3 linked regions of the Canis lupus familiaris genome follow. The protein of the gene in region 1 interacts with the protein of each later gene in a pairwise test. Links are inferred from orthologs where the notes say so. Each region holds a gene or a part of one and is shown in the gene's direction. Other genes may lie near its edges.

Region 1 (5,814 bases):
TGGAACTTAATTGCACAACCCTGAGATCATGACTTGAGCTGAAATCAAGAGTCAGATGTTCAACCCACTGAGCACCCAGACATTCCTGGACTGGATCCTTGTATGGATTGACGGGCAAGGAAGAGGACCCTCTGCAATAAAGAAGAAACCCTCCATTGGTAGATAACTGTCTTTGTCAGTTTCCAGATATTGAATTATTTTTAAAACCATGGCTAATCAGCTAGATGTCAATACAAAGTAACATTCTCCTCTATTTGAGCTTTCTGGGCAGCAAAATGAAAAATAAATTAATCTGAATAATCAAAAACGTAAAAGAGAAGTCCATGACTCTGGCATAAGTATAATTATAATTTTGATTGGCTTAATTCCTGATGATGACTTAGCACTGGTATAGAACCCAGTAGTGTGCTAGGCCTCGCCAGGAAGGAGCCAGCAACCCATATCCACAACAGAGCTACAGACAAAAGCTTTGTTGAGATTTTGAAATAACATGAAAAAGATCAGTCTACAAAAAACAAAACAAAACAAAAAAACAAAACAAAAACAAAAAGATCAGTCTACATTTATCTACTCTGTACTCAGATATTTGCATGTCCATGTTAAGAATTCTTAGTTAAGTGTTTAGTTTTGGCTACGGTTGAGGCAGAGGTGGGGATAGAAGACATTGCCCTCACTTATCTCTCAGGATTTGCACGTTTAGCTTCTGCCATCCTCTTCCCCACTATGAGCACACTCTAGACCAGAGTGTTTTGGTTTCTAAACCCTGGTTTTGTCTTCTTCCAGCAGTGTGACCTTGCTGAGCAATTTCCCTTCCTCCCAGGACAATTCTCATTTCAATGCGAGCATCTTTTCCAGCACCGATCTTCTGTGATTGTTCTCTGTAATTTCTTCAAGGCACCTTTCCTGTAAAGCTAAGCCAAAGATCAGCCTCGGTAGATCCCCCAAGTGTGCATTCTGGAAGAGACTATTACTAGCAAGGTTGCCCAAGGGCAAGCAGCTCGTTACTGCCTCCAAGAATCAGGTTTTTATCATCGGCAAAAAGGGAAGTAGGCAGGAAAGTTACAGAAACAGTAGAGCATTTTCTTTTCCAAATGAAAATAGCTCCACAGTCTTGTTTTTGGACGACCGAAGAAATTCTTGCCCGTTGTAAACAACTCAGAAAACAAAGGCAAGTGTAAAGAAGAAAACAAAAAGCAGGGTAACCCCAACGCACAAGAAGAGCAACAGTGATACCAGTGAGCAGGAGTAACATTGCCGGATGGTGTGTACAGCCAGTGGTTTTTCCCCACGAGCACCAACAGACCAGCACTTATGCTACACACGTGTAACACAGCCACATGCACACCGCATGTTCGTGTACATACGCACACACAGAGATTACTTCCACACGGGACAGGTCACACCACGAACACACATTTTCCCCCACGCGTGAGCCCTGGGAAGTGTGGTCAGACTCCGGGGACCCGGAGCACCAGCTATTACTCGGGGGCACCCCTTCGGAGTCGCAGCGGCCTCAGGCCCCCCGTCTCCAACTACAAGTCCCAGCAGTGGCGGGCGCGGGCGCCGACGGGAGGCCGGAGTCCGGAGAGACTACAAGTACCAGCAGGCTTGGCGCACACGCCGGGACTACGATTCCCAGGAACCTCAGCTCGCGGCTCGCGCAGAGCCCTCCGGGATATGTAGTCGTCGCGCGCACCTAATTCCTATTCATTCAGCCTCTGAAGAAACGTAAATTCCTCTCGCGGTCCACCGACGCGACTTCTCACGGGGCTAGCGAGGAGACGGAGCGCGCGCCGGGAAAGGAAAGATTCCAGGCCCCAACCGTGGCGCGGCCGGACGACGCGTGCGCATGCTCGGCGGTCGCCGGCGCCGGCGAAGGCGCGCGCGGGAGGCCTGGAGCGGCAGGCCCCGCCCCCTGGCCCGGTCCCCGGGCCCGGCGCGCCCCGCGTGAGGAGCCTGCGCAGACGGGGCGGGGCGGAGGGCCGCGGGGAGGGACTCGCGGCGCCTGCGCAGAGCGGCGGCTTCTCTCGCGAGGACGGACGCCATTATCGCATCTCCCCGACAAACACCACGAGAATTCCGCAGCCCACACGGTAATTGCAGCTCCCGCAGCCGGTCGCGTCTCCACCTCCCCCTTCCCGCGGGGCGAGAGCGAGAGCGAGAGCGAGATCTCCCCTCCTCCCTCCTCCCTGCGCCCTCCTCCGGCCGCCGCGCCCGCGCCCGCCGCCCCCGCCCGGGACGCCCTGCGCGGCCGCCCAACGGCCCGCCGCCTTCGGCCCCGCCGGCGCGCCCCGCTCCCGGCGCCCTCCCCGCCCGCTCTGGCTCCCCCGGCCGCCGCCGCCGCCGCCGCCCCCGCCAGCCGCCCCCGCCCCCCGCGAGGGCCCCGCGCCGCGCCCCGGACGGACCCGGGCACAGGCCTCCCCTGTCAGTCGGCGCCCGGGGCCCGCGGGCAGGCCGCCCTGCGCCCGGTGTGCCCGCCCCGCGGGGCCGAGGGCTCACGGGGAGGGGAGGGGAGGGGAGGGGAGCGCTCAGGCTTGGGGAGTGCGGCCTGGGGTTTGCCTCGAGACCCCCGCCCCGCCCCGCCCCCGGTGGGCGCCCTGCACCGGGCGCTCCTCGAGGACGCGGGGGCTCGGGGGCTGCCGGGGGGCTCGGGGGGCTCGGGGCTGGCCGCCCCTGGCGCCCTCTGCACCGGCTGCACCCCCCGGCCTCGCCAAGGTCGGGGTAGTCCAGGGGTCGCCCCAGGTGAGGGACCCGGGGGACCGCCCGCCCATTACTCCGCTTCCGGACCGCCCTGCATACGAGGATCTAGAGGATCTGGAGGATCTAGCGGCGGGGAGACCGCGGAACAGCCCCCGAGATGAGTCGTCTCTGTTTAGCTTCGTTCTCCCTTGTGTTGCACTAAAGTGAGAACATGTGCTCAGGATGTTGGATTCCGTGGACATCCCGTGGCCTTAGGGTCTGGAAGTGGCTGCCGTGCCCGCGCTCTGTGCTGTGGCTGGGCCTGCGGACCACTCCCAGGGCTTCTCATCGCAGCCATCTAGAGAGGTGACCGGCCACCGGGGTTAGGACACTCGTCCAAGACGCGGGGAGCCAAGGCCTTGAACTCCTCTCTCCGAGGTCCGTGCTCTTAAATAATAATACATCTAGCAGTCATGCACACGGTAAACCCTCAGGGGAAAACTTAGGTTGAAGAGCAACAGCCCCGTCTTACTCCTCAAAGACTTAACATCTTTTTGCTCTTGGGGAAGGTCTCCGTAGCTCTGGAGAGTACCTTGGTATTTTATTAGTCTTACACATTGTTGACATTCTGTTATCATACGATGATTGAGCCCTTCCTATCATATCCCACCTTTTCTATCCCCTTAATTCACTGTGTTCACTTGACTCAGATTGTTTAAGACCGAGCAAATACTGTTTTTCACTTCTACAGCTTTCTGTTTTTTTCTGTTGTTTGTAGTGGCCTTTCTTTTTCTTTGCATTCTCTGTTCCCATTGACTCTTTACGTTGTAAATTATCAAGGGATAAGGTCATCTCTCCAACTCCCCACTCCTCCCTCCCCCCCATCCTCCTCAGCCCTCTGTCCTCTTTTTCTAATCTGGATTGATTACTCAGGCCAGTACAAGTATTCTTCTGATATTTTCCTTTATTATACATCCCAGTTTGTACAGGATTCCATGTTTTAATCTTGGCTTTCTTCATTTCAATATCATTTCTGCCAAATAGTCTTATTCGTTTTGAGTAACTCCTTACAATCCGCTTTGGTGTTAGGACATTTCCAGAGTGCCCTAGGATGTGGAGTCTCACTGTGGATGTTCAGTGCTTCTGGGCGCTTGCCCTTCAGCTCTGGGAAATCCTCTTGTATCTGACAATTTCCCCTGCATTTACTCTTTTATTTTGATGATGGACATCTTGGATTGACCCACTGAATCTTGTGTCTTTATCCTCTTTTGTCATTTTCTTCTCTTTTTTGGGAGAGGGCTTCAAGTTATCTTCCAATCCTGTTTAAAATTTTTTATTTCCACAGTTGAAAATTGATCAAAAACTTATGTGTTCTCCCCGCCCCCCCCCCCCCCCCAGTAGCTACTTGTGAACATATTCTTGATTTTGAGGATACCAACATGGGATTTTTTTCAATTCTTTTGTTCTTTGATTTCTTATTTCCTCTAGTGCCATTGTTGCCTTTTAAAAAATATTGGCTTCATACTTCATGTGGCAAATATTCCTTAAATATTGGTAATTGTTGTTTAAAGCAAGAGGAAATGGGCAGAGAGCTCTGAGTCTGTGGGGCTGGTTTTGAAAATGTGTGGGTCTCCCCTCAAGTCATTGGGAACTTGTTACTGTGTGGGACTTTGAGTGCCAGATTGCAGAGACTTTTTCTGTGGGTCTTACAGCTTAAGACCAGATCCCTTTGATTTGGGATTGGTCTACCTGGTCTAGGGAGGGTGTGAGCAGAAACGGCCTGTGCTCTGCTGAGTGTTCTGGCCTGCCACAGGCTTACCCACTTTGGCTGTACCCACTCCTGTATGCCCCAGATTGTGGTTTCCTTTGCCTCCATTAGATCCTATCAGTCTCCCAGAAATTTGCAAAGTATCTTGTCTGTGTCATATTTTCTTTCTTGTGGGATTGTTATATGCAATTAAAAATTAATTTAATGGGATGAGCAGAGATCACCTTTGTGGCAAGTTGCTCCTTGTGAGCAGGAATTACAGAGCCCGTTCTTGTCTTTCTGCTCTGCTGCCTCTCTTGGTAATGGATGCCATCCGTCAGTGGAACCGATGCCCTGAGCATTGTCCCCGTGGTCATCTCCGCGTTGCAGTGTGGGCGGATGTCGTGTGTTCCTCCTGGAGGTTCTGGCTCTGCAGCCTTGGAGGCATGCCAAGCTCAGCTGGGGAAGGCCAACCATAGACAAGTGTAGCAAAGGTTGTGATTTCAGACTCTTAAGGTTGTCTTATCACACTGGCTTCTTATACCATGTCATTGTACTAAGGTAGCACTTCAGTGTGCCAAGTTTAAGGATCGCCTCTAGTTAAGCAGTGATTACTGTACATGAAGTGTAATCTTGGTGCATTTTAGTCAGCTGTCCTTCGAAAGTTGTGTACAGTGAAATATGTCAGCTATATCTGTCAGGGCCTAGCAAGGCTCACATGAGGTGGTTCATGGGCCAGTGACATTACCATCACTGGGTGTTTGAGAGAAAGGCAAACTCTCAGGCCCCCACCAGACATGGGATCAGAATCTGCAGCTTTGTAAACTTTTAATTTTGAGACTTTTAATTTTAGATTTACAGAAAAGTTGCAAAAATAGTTCACAGAGCTTCCCTGTTCCCGTCACCCGCTTCCCGTAATGCTGACTTCTTACATAACCAGATATCCATATGAAAATCAGGAAATTAACATCGGCACAGTACTGTTAACTAAAGTACAGACTTAACTGAATTTCGTAAGTTTTCCATTAATATCCTTTTTCTGTTTCAGGATCTAATCCAGGATCCCACTCTGCATTTAGTTGTCATGTCTCCTGAAGTCTCCAATCTGTGATCTTTACATAGCCCCAAAGTATCTCTCTAAAGATATTTATAAATTACAAAGGGAAAAATGGTAACTTCACAGTGGAAAAACCTACAAATACCACCTTAACATCACCAGTAATAAGACATATGATATCACGTACCCCAGTGTGATACACTGAGACAAATGCTTACATTGTTCAGTCACGAGAAAACCCAAATTGAGGGTCACTCACCAAAATCTTAACTGGTGCTCCTCAAAAAGTATCCAGGTCTTGAAAAAACAGGGAAAGACTCAATTTGCATGT
Region 2 (5,934 bases), on another chromosome or scaffold:
TAAAGAGATATGGGTATACTTACGGCACGTCCAGGACTTTATAATGTGGGAAGCAATAATGGAAAGGAACACAGCCCCTGGGATTGGGCCAGCCTGGGTTCAGATCAGAAGCTTTGTAATCCTAAGAAAGTTATGGCACCTACCTTATTGGGTGGTTGGGAAGATTTAATGAAATAATCTGTTTAAACTCTTAGCACTGGTCCATGATATATAGCAAGTACTTCGCAAATGTTACTCTTAAGGTTATGTGTGCTTTTGTCTTTATGCAAGTATGTGTGTCCATGTTCATGTGGTGCAAATTTGGGCATCTAAGGGAGGTAGAATATGTTTAAGAACAAGAGAGGGAAAGAGGAAGGATGTTGTTCACCTCTGCAGCAGGAGTTATAGCACTGGAGCAGACCTTTCTAGAGGGTGAGGGGTTTGCAGAGCAGCTCACAGAGGAGAGGGCTCAGCTTTACCAAGTGGGAAAAAGTAAGGGACAGCAAAGGGCCTCAGATAAGAGACTTCCTGATGAGCATAGAATTTATAAAAGTGGAAATTAATTGAAGGAGAACAGGCAACAGAATTGGATTTGATGTTGTGGAAGCCCAAAAAAACCTTCATAAAGAGAGATGAGAAAAAGAGTTGAAAATGGTTTCTGAAATTGGCATGTACTCAAATCAGGTCTCTGTGCTCAGAGGACAGATGACTTCATCTGCTGCATCCTAATGCTCTCCTCTGTTGTGAGCTCCATGCATCTTTTCTTTTTCAGAAATAACATGGAAAAATTTTGTAAAACATGTAATCCGCCACCACCTGTTATCTGGCGTCTTGGTCCCCTCTTAAGATATTCCCATGGAGCTGTAGCTAAGTGCTTTCTGCATCATAAAGAACTGTCATCCTTAAGTTGAAAGAAGAGATTTAGTTTAAAAAAAAAAAAAAAAGAATACCAGTTTCTAGTCCCAGTTCTGCCCCTAACTTACTGGGCAACTTGAAGGAATCTCTTGATCTCTCTGGGCACAGCTCATCTGCAAGGGAAGTTGATTGGTCAGCTTGGGTCATTATCTTTTGACTTCCTGCCATCCCCAGATGCAGTTTAGCTCCCTCCAACCATCTCCTCCCCTTAAAGCTGTATCACCATAGGACATGGTAGTACGGAGCACGGAACACCTGTCTCTTGCTGGCTGTGACTCCTGGAATGGGTTATTTAACCTCTCTGTGTCTCAGTTTCCTTATTTGCAAATGAGGGTAAAGAAGAGTATAGTGTATTACTGGCTTACTAACAGGATTGAGTTATATAGGTAAAGTAGAACAGTGCTTAGCACAGATAAGGGCTACTCTGGGGTAAGATTATCATGAGTATTTACTTTATGGAATAACTATGTAACTTTACATGAAATGTGTTACAGATAAATCAAGACATCAAAGTATTAGCATTATTTGGAGCTATGGAAAGATTCCAGCAAGCATGGGGCAGGGAGAGAGACTGAAACCATTCCTTCTTCAAAACCCTTCTGTGCTGTGATTTTTCAAAGGTGTACATGTACTACCATGATACGATTTTTTTTTTAATTTAAAGAGATTGAGCAAAAGAGATCACTAAAGGTCCGTCTCAAATGTACAAATTCAAGGACTGACTGCTTTTCAAGGAGAAGTACTTTTTAGGTGGCGGGCTTATCTCTGTTATAGCTACCGTTAATATGTTTGACCTTTTCAGCAAATCCTTATAAAGGTTTAAAATACACACAGTCACCTTGGCATGTTTATAAACCGAGCATGTTTCAACTTCTGGGATAGGAGACAAAATGAGAAAAGTGAAAATATCAACTGCAAATATTTAGCCTTAGGGGCTGGCTTATATTTTGTCCCTTCTAATCTTTTCCCAGAAATCAACTCAGTTACACAAAGGAACGATGGGCAGCAGAGGGTGAACTCCCGAGAAAAGCGCTGCTGCCTGCCAGGCAGTGAAAGCGTTAACAGGGCTGAGTAAGGCGATCCTTGAAATGAGTAAGACTCAGAGTTGTTAAAGTTTTCAAAGCGCGGCAGCGGCTCTTGGGGAAAAGGAAGCGAGTTGGAGGGAGCCTGGCCAAGCCGAGGATGGAGGATCGCGCTGAGCTGAACTCAGCTGGGGTTCTGTGCTCAAGGTTAGTGCCCCCCCACACACACACATCTCCCCAGAACTGACGCCTTGGGAGAGTTGTCTCAGGAAGGCAAGGCGCCCTCTCTCCTCCTGGTGTGTCATGTCTGCTTTGCTTACTGGCGGGCCACCCGCCCTTGGGCTGAACCTCCCAAACCTCTGGGGCTGCTGTGCACAATTTTGGCATTTGTGAGGGACAGGTGACCTCTTCCTGGGAGACCTCTTTCAACTGGACACCTCTTTTCAGACGTCTAAAAGGAAACTTTCTGGAATAAGGATGTTTTCAGACCACACACACACACACACACACACACACACATACTCACACCTGTATACATTGTTCCATCTTGATTTTTTTTGGTTGTGACCACAATCCAGAATTGGGATCTGTTTCAGATGAAACTGAGAACACTTGTCAAAGTAACTAAACAGGCTGTGTGACTTCACCCTGTGGGAGGAATCTTGTCTCTGAGGCTAGAATAATCAGGGGAGAGAAGGGGGGAGAAAAGAAGGAAGAAAGGGATGGAGGGAGGGACGAAAGGAGAGAAGGAGGGGGGGAAAAAGCTTCCAAGCATCCTGGCCTGTGGTTAAGGCAAACAGTTTTTGAAAATGTGTTTCTCATAGAACTTTTTCTCATATGTTGCTAGAACAAACTAATGGGGGAAGATGCATAATGAAGGAGCTAATCCTACATCTGCATGAGATTCAGATAAACTTGTCTATATAAACTTGTCTGTTCTGCAGATAACAGATAAACCTAGGGGAAGAAGGAGGACTAGATGACTTCACAGAAATTGCATTTTGGGGGGGCCCTTGATGTGAGAACTGAAACTGATTGGTGGGGAAAAGAACCCCCTTTGAGCCCTCAGGCCACCTCAACCAGCCAGTTTTGTCTCCTTGCTCTTGCTTCCACACACAGAAGCAATGAGTAAGTAGTCAGTCACCATGGAGAATGCTCCCTGAGATCCTCCAGCAGGCAGGAGTTGAGCCTCATACCTGCTAGCACTGAATCAGAATGAGTCATTTGAAACTTGGGTGCTGGAACAAAGTACTTGCAAACTGCCTTATGAGACACTGCCTCCATGTAGGTGGGATATACCTCTCAGAGCAGTCCCATTTTCTTCATCTCTTCCTTTCTCATTCACACAGGCAGGAATTCTGACACTCCCAAGAGACTGGATCTGCCTCCTTGGCTCAGCTCACCCTACCATGCAGACTTTGCCCCTCCAGATCAGGATTGGAGTTTTAAAATAAAATGGATGATTTGACGTTACTTGATCTTCTGGAGTGCCCCGTGTGCTTTGAAAAGCTCGACGTCACAGCCAAAGTCCTCCCTTGCCAGCACACCTTCTGCAAACCATGTCTCCAGAGGATTTTCAAGGCTCACAAGGAGCTGAGGTGCCCCGAATGCAGGACCCTGGTGTTTTGCAGCATCGAAGCTCTGCCAGCCAACCTGCTGCTCGTGCGTCTTCTAGATGGTGTGCGCTCAGGGCAGAGCTCTGGAAGAGGGGGCTCCTTCCGCAGGCCTGGTGTGCTGACCTCGCAGGACAGCAGGAAAAGCAGGACTGACCCCAGAGGTCTGCAGTCCAGCCCTTTCCGACTGGTGCCTAATATCAGAATCCACATGGATGGGGTAAGAAAGATCTTATTTGTTCGTATTGTGTCCCTTTGGAGGTTGGATTTGTGTATACCAGCAGCTAGGAATTATCTTCCTATAGTTACATTTCAATGAGTGCTGCCAGTGATTCCCCAGAGAGAAGTTTCTATGGGCAGGGATCATTTTACTGAAACTTGGTGGAATCCTGAGCCTATCTTATCCATCCAGAAATTCTTAGAATTGTTGAGGTCTCCCCGTGCTGCTTGTCTAGAAGGTACTAGCACAAAGAAAGCCTTCGTGATTATTTTTCACCTTTCACTTCTGCTATTTGAGGCCAAACCAGTGCACAGGAAATGTGCAGAGGAGGGGGAAAAAGAGAAAACAAATCCAGCTGCTTTTTGCTTTTGAGATCTTTGAGAAGTTAAATGTCAGGTTTTGTTTTAATTTTACCCAACTCCATCTTCCCACCTCCAGTCCTGAAGTGCTATTATGACAGTGCTCATTCATGATCTGTTCGAAGTTATCAAGATACTTGAACACCCAAAGACTGTGCAGGAGGAAAGCATATCTGTGGGTGGACTGATTGATAGGAAGGCTGGGCTGTGAAGTACAACACGTGTGTACAGGAGCCCTGCAGATGTCTAACTCTACAAAATGAATCAAACATACATAAAATGCACCTCGGTGGCTGCCATAACCACAAAGGCCCGGCAGTGGTGCACAGGAGATCATAGGAACTCTTTTGGTGTTTGGATAACGCGAATCATTCTATCCAGCCATGCGATTGGATCCTGAGGACTCTATCTGACCTTGCTGCAAGCCTTTTGTGGGAAGCTGTGTTAAGGACACATCTTGAGAGGAGGGACGCAGTCCTTGTGAGTCCAGCAGGATTATGTGCACTGTCACCCCAGGAGTCAGTGTGTCAGAGCAGACACAGAAAGCTGTGACCTGGGTTACTGGCATACTTAGAAAGTCAAGGCTGCCTTCTGTGAAGTCTTACCTAAAGTGAACAGCTTTTTTTTTTTTTACATTTCATTATTCTTTTTAATTTATTTATTTTTTTAATAAATTTATTTTTTATTGGTGTTCAATTTACCAACATACAGAATAACACCCAGTGCTCATCCCATCAAGTGCCCCCCTCAGTGCCCGTCACCCATTCACCCCCACCCCCCGCCCTCCTCCCCTTCCACCACCCCTAATTTGTTTCCCAGAGTTAGGAGTCTTTATGTTCTGTCTCCCTTTCTGATATTTCCCACACATTTCTTCTCCCTTCCCTTCTAATCCTTTTCACTATTATTTATATTCCCCAAATGAATGAGAACATACACTGTTTGTCCTTCTCCGATTGACTTACTTCACTCAGCATCATACCCTCCAGTTCCACCCACGTTGAAGCAAATGGTGGGTATTTGTCGTTTCTAATGGCTGAGGAATATTCCATTGTATACATAAACCACAGCTTCTTTATCCATTCATCTTTCCATGGACACCGAGGCTCCTTCCACAGTTTGGCTATTGTGGACATTTCTGCTAGAAACATCGGGGTGCAGGTGTCCCGGCATTTCATTGCATCTGAATCTTTGGGGTAAATCCCCAACAGTGCAATTGCTGGGTCATAGGGCAGGTCTATTTTTAACTCTTTGAGGAACCTCCACACAGTTTTCCAGAGTGGCTGCACCCTTTCACATTCCCACCAACAGTGTAAGAGGGTTCCCTTTTCTCCACATCCTCTCCAACATTTGTGGTTTCCTGCCTTGTTAATGTTTCCCATTCTCACTGGTGTGAGGTGGTATCTCATTGTGGTTTTGATTTGTATTTCCCTGATGGCAGGTGATGCAGAGCATTTTCTCATGTGCATGTTGGCCATGTCTATGTCTTCCTCTGTGAGATTTCTCTTCATGTCTTTTGCCCATTTCATGATTGGATTGTTCGTTTCTTTGGTGTTGAACAGCTTTAAATCTAACAGCAGAGTCCCCCCAACTCTGTTGTGAAGAGTAACAGTGGGTGGGAGGGTCTTCGCAGATTCCTTCCCGCACTGGAGAATAGGCTTATGATGTGCAGTCAGGACACTTTTCTAAAATACTCCTTTCAGTGGCTTACCTCCTTCTGTTCCCTACATCTCCAAGCTGCCCATGTAGTAGGGGAATGTGTCAAAAATGTGAGCGGGAAGCAGTGGGCATTGGTGTGATTTCTTCACTGCAGACTTTTTATTGCCATT
Region 3 (5,981 bases), on another chromosome or scaffold:
CGACTTCCCAATCCCCCCGCCTCCGGGGCCCGGTAGATCCTGGAGGAGAAGCTAGGCCACCCTGCACCCCGAGCCCGTCCGACAGGGGCTCCCCGTGTGGCCCTCAGCACAGCCTTGGGGACCCCAAAACCCCATGGCGCCCCCTGCCCGACTGTTTGGGGTCCCTGCTGCCGAAGATGCAGCTCATCACACACCTGTGGAGAAGGTGGGCCGTCAGCAGTATTTGAAAGGATTTTAGATCGTTTATAGGATCGTTTATACACGTTCACAGATGACACGATCTTGTCCCGATTGGGGGCATTTCCTTCCTGCCCCTGGAGAGACACTTCCTGAGCTGCTGCCAGGCCCTACACACTCCTTGATGTGTGCCCTCGAGCTTCGCCGGCTTGGTGTCACTGCGGGAGCCCTGGCTGCCCCCATGCCCCCCCCCCCCGCCCCGGTGCTGCCCCCTTGGACACTGCCCCAGATGCCTCCCAAATACCAGGGCAACCCCCCCGGGTCCCCAGGGTGCCACACTGGGGAGCCCACCCCCTGTGGCCTGCACTCAGCCTGCCACGTCCAGCCTGCCTTACGAGCTGGGGCCTGGGATCCCTGGTCTCCTCTGACCCTTCCCCCAGCCAGGCTTCTGCAGTTCTCCAATCCAGGCCAGCTCTGGAGGCTACCCCCTGTGTGGCTTTGTCTTGAGTAGATCCAGGTAAAAACTTTATGGTTGTCACTTCCACTTAGGCGGGGAGGAGGGGCTCTGCGTCCTTTCTTGGACATCTCGCCAGGGGCACAGACATTATTGGGTCCCACACAGGGTCATGCTGACTTGGTCCTTTGGGCCAGGTGGTGTCTGATGGGCATCTTTCTTGTAAAGGTACTTTCCTTTTTTTTTCTTTTTTCTTTTAAGATTTCATTTATTTATTTGACAAAGAGAGCGTGAGCGGGGGGAGGAGCAGAGAGAGAAGCAGACTCCCCACCCAGCCAGGAGCCAGACCCAGGGCTGGATCCCAGGACCCCAGGACCATGACCTGAGCCAAAGGCAGACACTTAGCCACCGAGGGGCCCAGTTAAGATACTATCCTATGCTCATAATGAACTGTAGCCTGGAGGAAGATCTTGGCACCATAAATATTTTCTTTCTTTTCTTTCTTTTCGTTCTTTCTTTTCTTTTTTTTTTTTTTTTAAGATTTTATTTATTTATTCATGAGAGACAGAGAGAGACACTGGCAGAGGAAGAAGCAGGCTCCATGCAGGGAGCCCGACGTGGGACTAGATCCCGGGGCTCCAGGATCACGCCCTGGGCTCAAGGCGGCGCTAAACCGCTGAGCCACCCGGGCTGCCCTGAAATACATTTTCTTACGTGTAGTTGGCACAGTAAAAAACATGAATTGTGGGGTGACTGGAAGAACATGGTCTCCCTAAAGCCAGGGCAGAAAAAAGGACTTAAAGGGTAATAGTAGCACGTGGAGGAGCCAGCGGATAAGAAACGGCGCTTGGTCCGCTAAAGGGGCGCAGCGACCCAGAGACCGCAGCAGCACGTGCGGCCAGCCCGGCTCCCCTCCCGGACCCCGGACCCCGGCCCCCGGCCCCCGGCCCCCGGCCCCCGGCCCCGGCCCCGGCCCCGGCCCCGGGAGGCCCCGCCCTCAGCCAGGCCCTACCCCCCGGAAGGCCGGCCTTTTGCCAGGCCCCTCCCCTCCCCTCCCCCGAAAGCCCCATCTCTCCCCGGGAGGCCCCGCCCCTCCGGCCGGCCCCGCCCCCAGCCGGGCTCCTCCCCTCCGCCCGGCCTCTCTCAGATTGGCGCCCCGCCCCCGCGCCCCCAGTCCTCCGGCCGGCCTCCGTCTGACCCGCCCCGCCCGCACTCAGGCCCCGCCCCTCCAGCCGCCCCCGCCCTCGACCGGGCCCCCTCCGCCAGGCCCCGCCCCCTAGCCGGGCTCCGACACCCTTCCCTGACAGGCCCCGCCCATCGGCAGGCCCCGTCGCCGCCGCCCGCCCCCGCCGCTCCGCCAGGCCCCGCCCCTCCATCAGGCCCCGCCCCGGTGGCAGGCTGCAGGGCGCGCGGGGGACTCCGCAGACACGGCTTTCGGACAGGTGTGGAGGGGGCGGGGGCGCCGGTGGTGGTCCGCCGCCGCTGGCGCTGCCCGGCCCGCCCCCGGCCCGCCCCCGGCCCGCCCCCGGCCCGGCCTGCAGCCCGGGCTCCTGCAGGCCCGCGGCCGCCCCGCGCGAGCGCCGGCTCTGGGATCCACTGCTCTGGCCTGGGGGCGGGGCCGGCGCGCGGCGTCATGCATATGCATGAGCGGCGCGGCGGCTCCATTGTGCCCTCGGAGCGGGCGGCGGCGCGATGGCGCGGGTGGCGGCGGCGGCGGCCCCGCGGCGGCGGGCGGCGCGGAGGGCGGGCTGAGCGCATGGAGCGGCGTGGGCCGGGGGCCTCGGCGGCGAGGGGCCGGGCTAGGCCGGGCGGAGGTGAGCGGGCCGGGTGGACAGGTGCGGGCGGCGGGGGCGGCAGGTGCGGCAGGTGCGCGCGGCGGGCAGGTGCGGCGCTCGGGGCCCGCGCTGCGGCGCCTCTGCCGGGCTCGGGCCGGGGTGGAGGCGGCCCCGCCGCCCACCTGCCGCACCTGCCGCGTGCGCGTCGTGCTCTCGGGCCCTCCGGCCGGCGCGCGGGCGGCCCTCACCTGAGCCTTTGTTGGGGTGGGCTGGAAGCCGGCCGGGCGCCCGAGGGGTGTGCGCGGCCCCGGCGACCTCCCGAGCCGGGAGGATGGCCCGGGGCCCTCGCCCCGCCTGGCCGCGCCGCCGCCACGCCGCGCTCGGGCTCGCCTCCGGGCTGGCTCTGGGCCGTGCGCGCCCACCAGCTGGGCGGCGTGGGGCCGCGGGGCCGCCCGAGGCCGGCGGAGCAGGCTGACCTTTCAGCCTCCCGCCGTTGTTTCTAAGGGGACACCCCTCGTCCCAGCCGCGCCGTCGCCGGGGCGGGAGGGTGCCCTCTCCCAGGACCCCCGTTTGCCTCTCTCCCTGCCCCGCTCTCCTTTCCCTCCTGCTTGCTCCCCTCCGGCCCGGATGCGCCCGTCCCTGCCCAGCTCTGTTCCTGATGGTTGCAGACCATCCACAGCCACGTCTGTAAGTCGGTTTCGCAGGGGCATACACGGAACGTGTGACTTGATCTGGGGGACGGTGGTGGATGCAGGGAGGGTGAGCAGACTCAGCCACCGCTTCCTGGGGAGCTAGAGCCCTCGGGCCTCCATCCAGGCTTCGTGAGAGGGGGGCCTGGCCTCCCCCAGCAGGTACTGGGCCTGAGGACTGGTCATGCCCAGGGGCTGGTTACAGGCAGGGGACAGAGGTCAGGGAGGAGGAAGGTAATGACAGGCAGGCAGGGTGCGCCTGGGGAGGACTCCAGGGACAGCCCGACTTCCTCACGAAGTGTCCACTGGCACTGCGTCCACTACAGGACTCAGGGTTTGAGCACAGAATGGCAGGTGTGTGTCCTCCGCTTTCCTAGGGTGGCTGCCACGTACCCATTGTGCACCCAGGCCCTTCGTAAGTGCTCGTTCCTGGGTGCTTTAGATGGGCTCCAGCACTTAGGCTGGTCGGTGTTGTGGCCTCACGTGGAGAGCAGCAGGACTTCCAGCCATCCAAGCATGTGAGTCCCCCCCTTGTGTCGTCCTGCCTCACTGAGCCACCATTTCCACCTTCTCCAAGCCCATCAGACTTGGGTGTCCCTCTGCTTGGACACGTGCCCTGGAAGCACAGGCTCCCTGCTGCCGGAGTGCCTGCCCCAGGACCACAGAGCAGGCGTGCCTTTCCGAGGTCAGGTGGCCTGTCATGGGGTGTGCTGCTCCTGGCTGACCAGGCGGCAGGGACGGAGGAGAGGTGCAAGAGAGCTGACCCACATTAACGTCTGCCTGTGGTTGGCACCCAGGAGACTGGGTGCAGCTGCTCCGAGGCCCTGGGAGGGGGTCTGAGTAGCGAGTTTCTGTAGCCGTCTTTCTGGGAGATGTGACCCAACCCAGAGAAAGCTCCAGGCTAACCACGTGCCAGGGCGGTTCTGCCGAGGGGTCCTGGCTTCCCGCTGGAGCTGTGGACAGCAGAGCCTCGGACCAGCAGAAGGGCCCCCGCCTCAGGCCTGCTCGGGCCTCCTTGTGCGCACGTGCACTCAGGCACACACGCACACACACACCAGGGCTTCTCCAGCTGTACCTCTCAGGCCAGGAAGTGAGAGGAGGGTCTTGCATTCAGAGCAGGGCTCTCCCTTTGTCGGGAGCAGAGGGCCATGGGGTACCCAACTTGGAGAGTGCAGGTCTCCCCAAGGAGGAGACCAGACTTAGTTTGGCAGGAAGTCACACACACACACACACACACACACACACACACACGCCCTGCACACCCAGACACCCATGCATGCAGTCAGCTCAGGGGGAACTGGAAATCTCTGTGGTCTCGTCCATAGCAGAGCAGCCTTTGGGGTGGAATTCCCCCGACCCATGTGATGTAGGAGTCGTCCTGGGGCCCCAGACCAGTAGCCTCTGCCTCCCCCACTCTCCACCTGGGGTCCCTGTAGCGGCAGCATCCTCACCCAGGCTCGTTAGGGATGCGGGTCCTCAGTTCCAGTCCTACAGTTGTGTGTGATGCGCCGGAGCTGGAGCTGGGGCCGCGGGAGTCCTCAGTGGTGCTCCCCCACCTGGCCAGGGGCTCGTCTTCCACCCACCCTTTGCTTCTGTAACCACAGAGTGGGCCTGGCCAACCCCACCAGCTTTGTTGTAGGGAAGGGTGGCCCTGGGCATTTCAGTGGAGAGAACAGGCCAAGCGGCGGCGGTTTTCTCATTAAACTTTTATTTTGAGGGAATTAAAGATTCACGTGCAGCTGAAAGAAATAACTGTGTGTCCTTTACCTGGTTACTCTAGTGGTGACATCTTATAATACGATAGGATAACGTCACACCGGGATGCTGCGTGGCTCCAGTCAAGATGCAGATACTCCCTCCCCACCTTCTGTTCACACCTGTTCCCTCCTCCCCACCTGGCAGTTGTGCTCTGCTTTTCATTCTGGGATTCCATCATTTCAGGAATGTTACATAAAGGGAATCCTACCGTGTGTAACCTTTGGGGACTGGCTTTCTCCACGCAGCGTGGTCTCTTGGGGCTTCCTGCCGCCTCCCCTCAAGCTCCCAGGCTGTGGGTGGCCCCTGAAGGGCTCGCCCCTCACCTGCAGGCCGTCCCCACTGACGCTGCCGGCAGCACACACACACACATTCCTGGGTGAACGCGTGTTTACATTTCTGGGAGATGAGTGTTCGGGAGTGAGTTTGTGGGGCCGGGCAGTAGCCGCCTGCTTAGTTTTACGAGAAGCCCCAGACTTTCCAGAGCGGCTGCACGGCAGTCCATTCCCAGTATCCCCAGGGCTGGAGCCGTCTATCCTCACTGCACTCCGTGGCGGCCTTGCTGTGCTGCGGAGCCTGGAGGGGCGGTGGGAGGGGCTCAGGGGGCTCAGAGGGCTCAGAGGCCTTACTCCACCCTTCCCGATGCCTCGATGGTGCCCCCCCCCCCCAGGCTGCCTCACTGTCCACACGACCTCGCCAGTGAAATGTCCCTCTGTCTTCCACCCATTTCCTGGGTGAGCTTTTTTGTCTTTTGAGTTTTGGGAATTCTTTATGTATTTTAGATACTAATCCTTTGCCGGGGACATGGCTTGTCCCTTCGTCCCATCAGCAGGGCCTCCCACAGGTAAATTTTCAGTTTTCCACTTTGAGGACTGTGCTTTTGGGGCACTGTTTAAGGACTTTCCTTAGCGCAAGATCCCAGAGATTTTCTCGTGAATGTTTCCAAAGGCTCTATGGTTTTACGCCGTACATTTAAACCTATGGCATGTTTCTAGTTAATTTCTGTGCAAGATGTGAAGATTAGGATTCTTTTTTTTTTTTTTGCATGCTGGAGTCCAGCGGCCCTGGCACCACATGTTGAAATGCCAGGTTTTCTCCAGCGTGTGGTTTTTCTACCTTCGTCATCAGAGA

What was found.
Region 2: the proteins of BANP (region 1) and SH3RF2 interact in binary tests that used the Homo sapiens proteins (3 or more experiments, as listed by UniProt). The two-hybrid records come from large-scale screens. The link is inferred for Canis lupus familiaris from reciprocal best matches to the Homo sapiens genes BANP and SH3RF2.
Region 3: the proteins of BANP (region 1) and ZMIZ2 interact in binary tests that used the Homo sapiens proteins (3 or more experiments, as listed by UniProt). The two-hybrid records come from large-scale screens. The link is inferred for Canis lupus familiaris from reciprocal best matches to the Homo sapiens genes BANP and ZMIZ2.

The regions. Positions count from the first base shown.
Region 1 is NC_049226.1:65,736,979-65,742,792, reverse strand, and holds the start of BANP (protein BANP), read left to right. Parts: upstream 1-1,969; 5' UTR 1,970-2,093; intron 2,094-2,694; exon of another isoform or gene 2,695-3,117; intron 3,118-5,814. UniProt on the Homo sapiens protein: Controls V(D)J recombination during T-cell development by repressing T-cell receptor (TCR) beta enhancer function. Binds to scaffold/matrix attachment region beta (S/MARbeta), an ATC-rich DNA sequence located upstream of the TCR beta enhancer.
Region 2 is NC_049223.1:39,550,327-39,556,260, forward strand, and holds the start of SH3RF2 (E3 ubiquitin-protein ligase SH3RF2), read left to right. Parts: upstream 1-1,969; 5' UTR 1,970-2,123; intron 2,124-3,265; 5' UTR 3,266-3,371; coding exon 3,372-3,749; intron 3,750-5,934. UniProt on the Homo sapiens protein: Has E3 ubiquitin-protein ligase activity. Acts as an anti-apoptotic regulator of the JNK pathway by ubiquitinating and promoting the degradation of SH3RF1, a scaffold protein that is required for pro-apoptotic JNK activation.
Region 3 is NC_049237.1:14,025,462-14,031,442, reverse strand, and holds the start of ZMIZ2 (zinc finger MIZ domain-containing protein 2), read left to right. Parts: upstream 1-2,016; 5' UTR 2,017-2,073; intron 2,074-2,361; exon of another isoform or gene 2,362-2,445; intron 2,446-3,071; exon of another isoform or gene 3,072-3,093; intron 3,094-3,472; exon of another isoform or gene 3,473-3,613; intron 3,614-5,981. UniProt on the Homo sapiens protein: Increases ligand-dependent transcriptional activity of AR and other nuclear hormone receptors.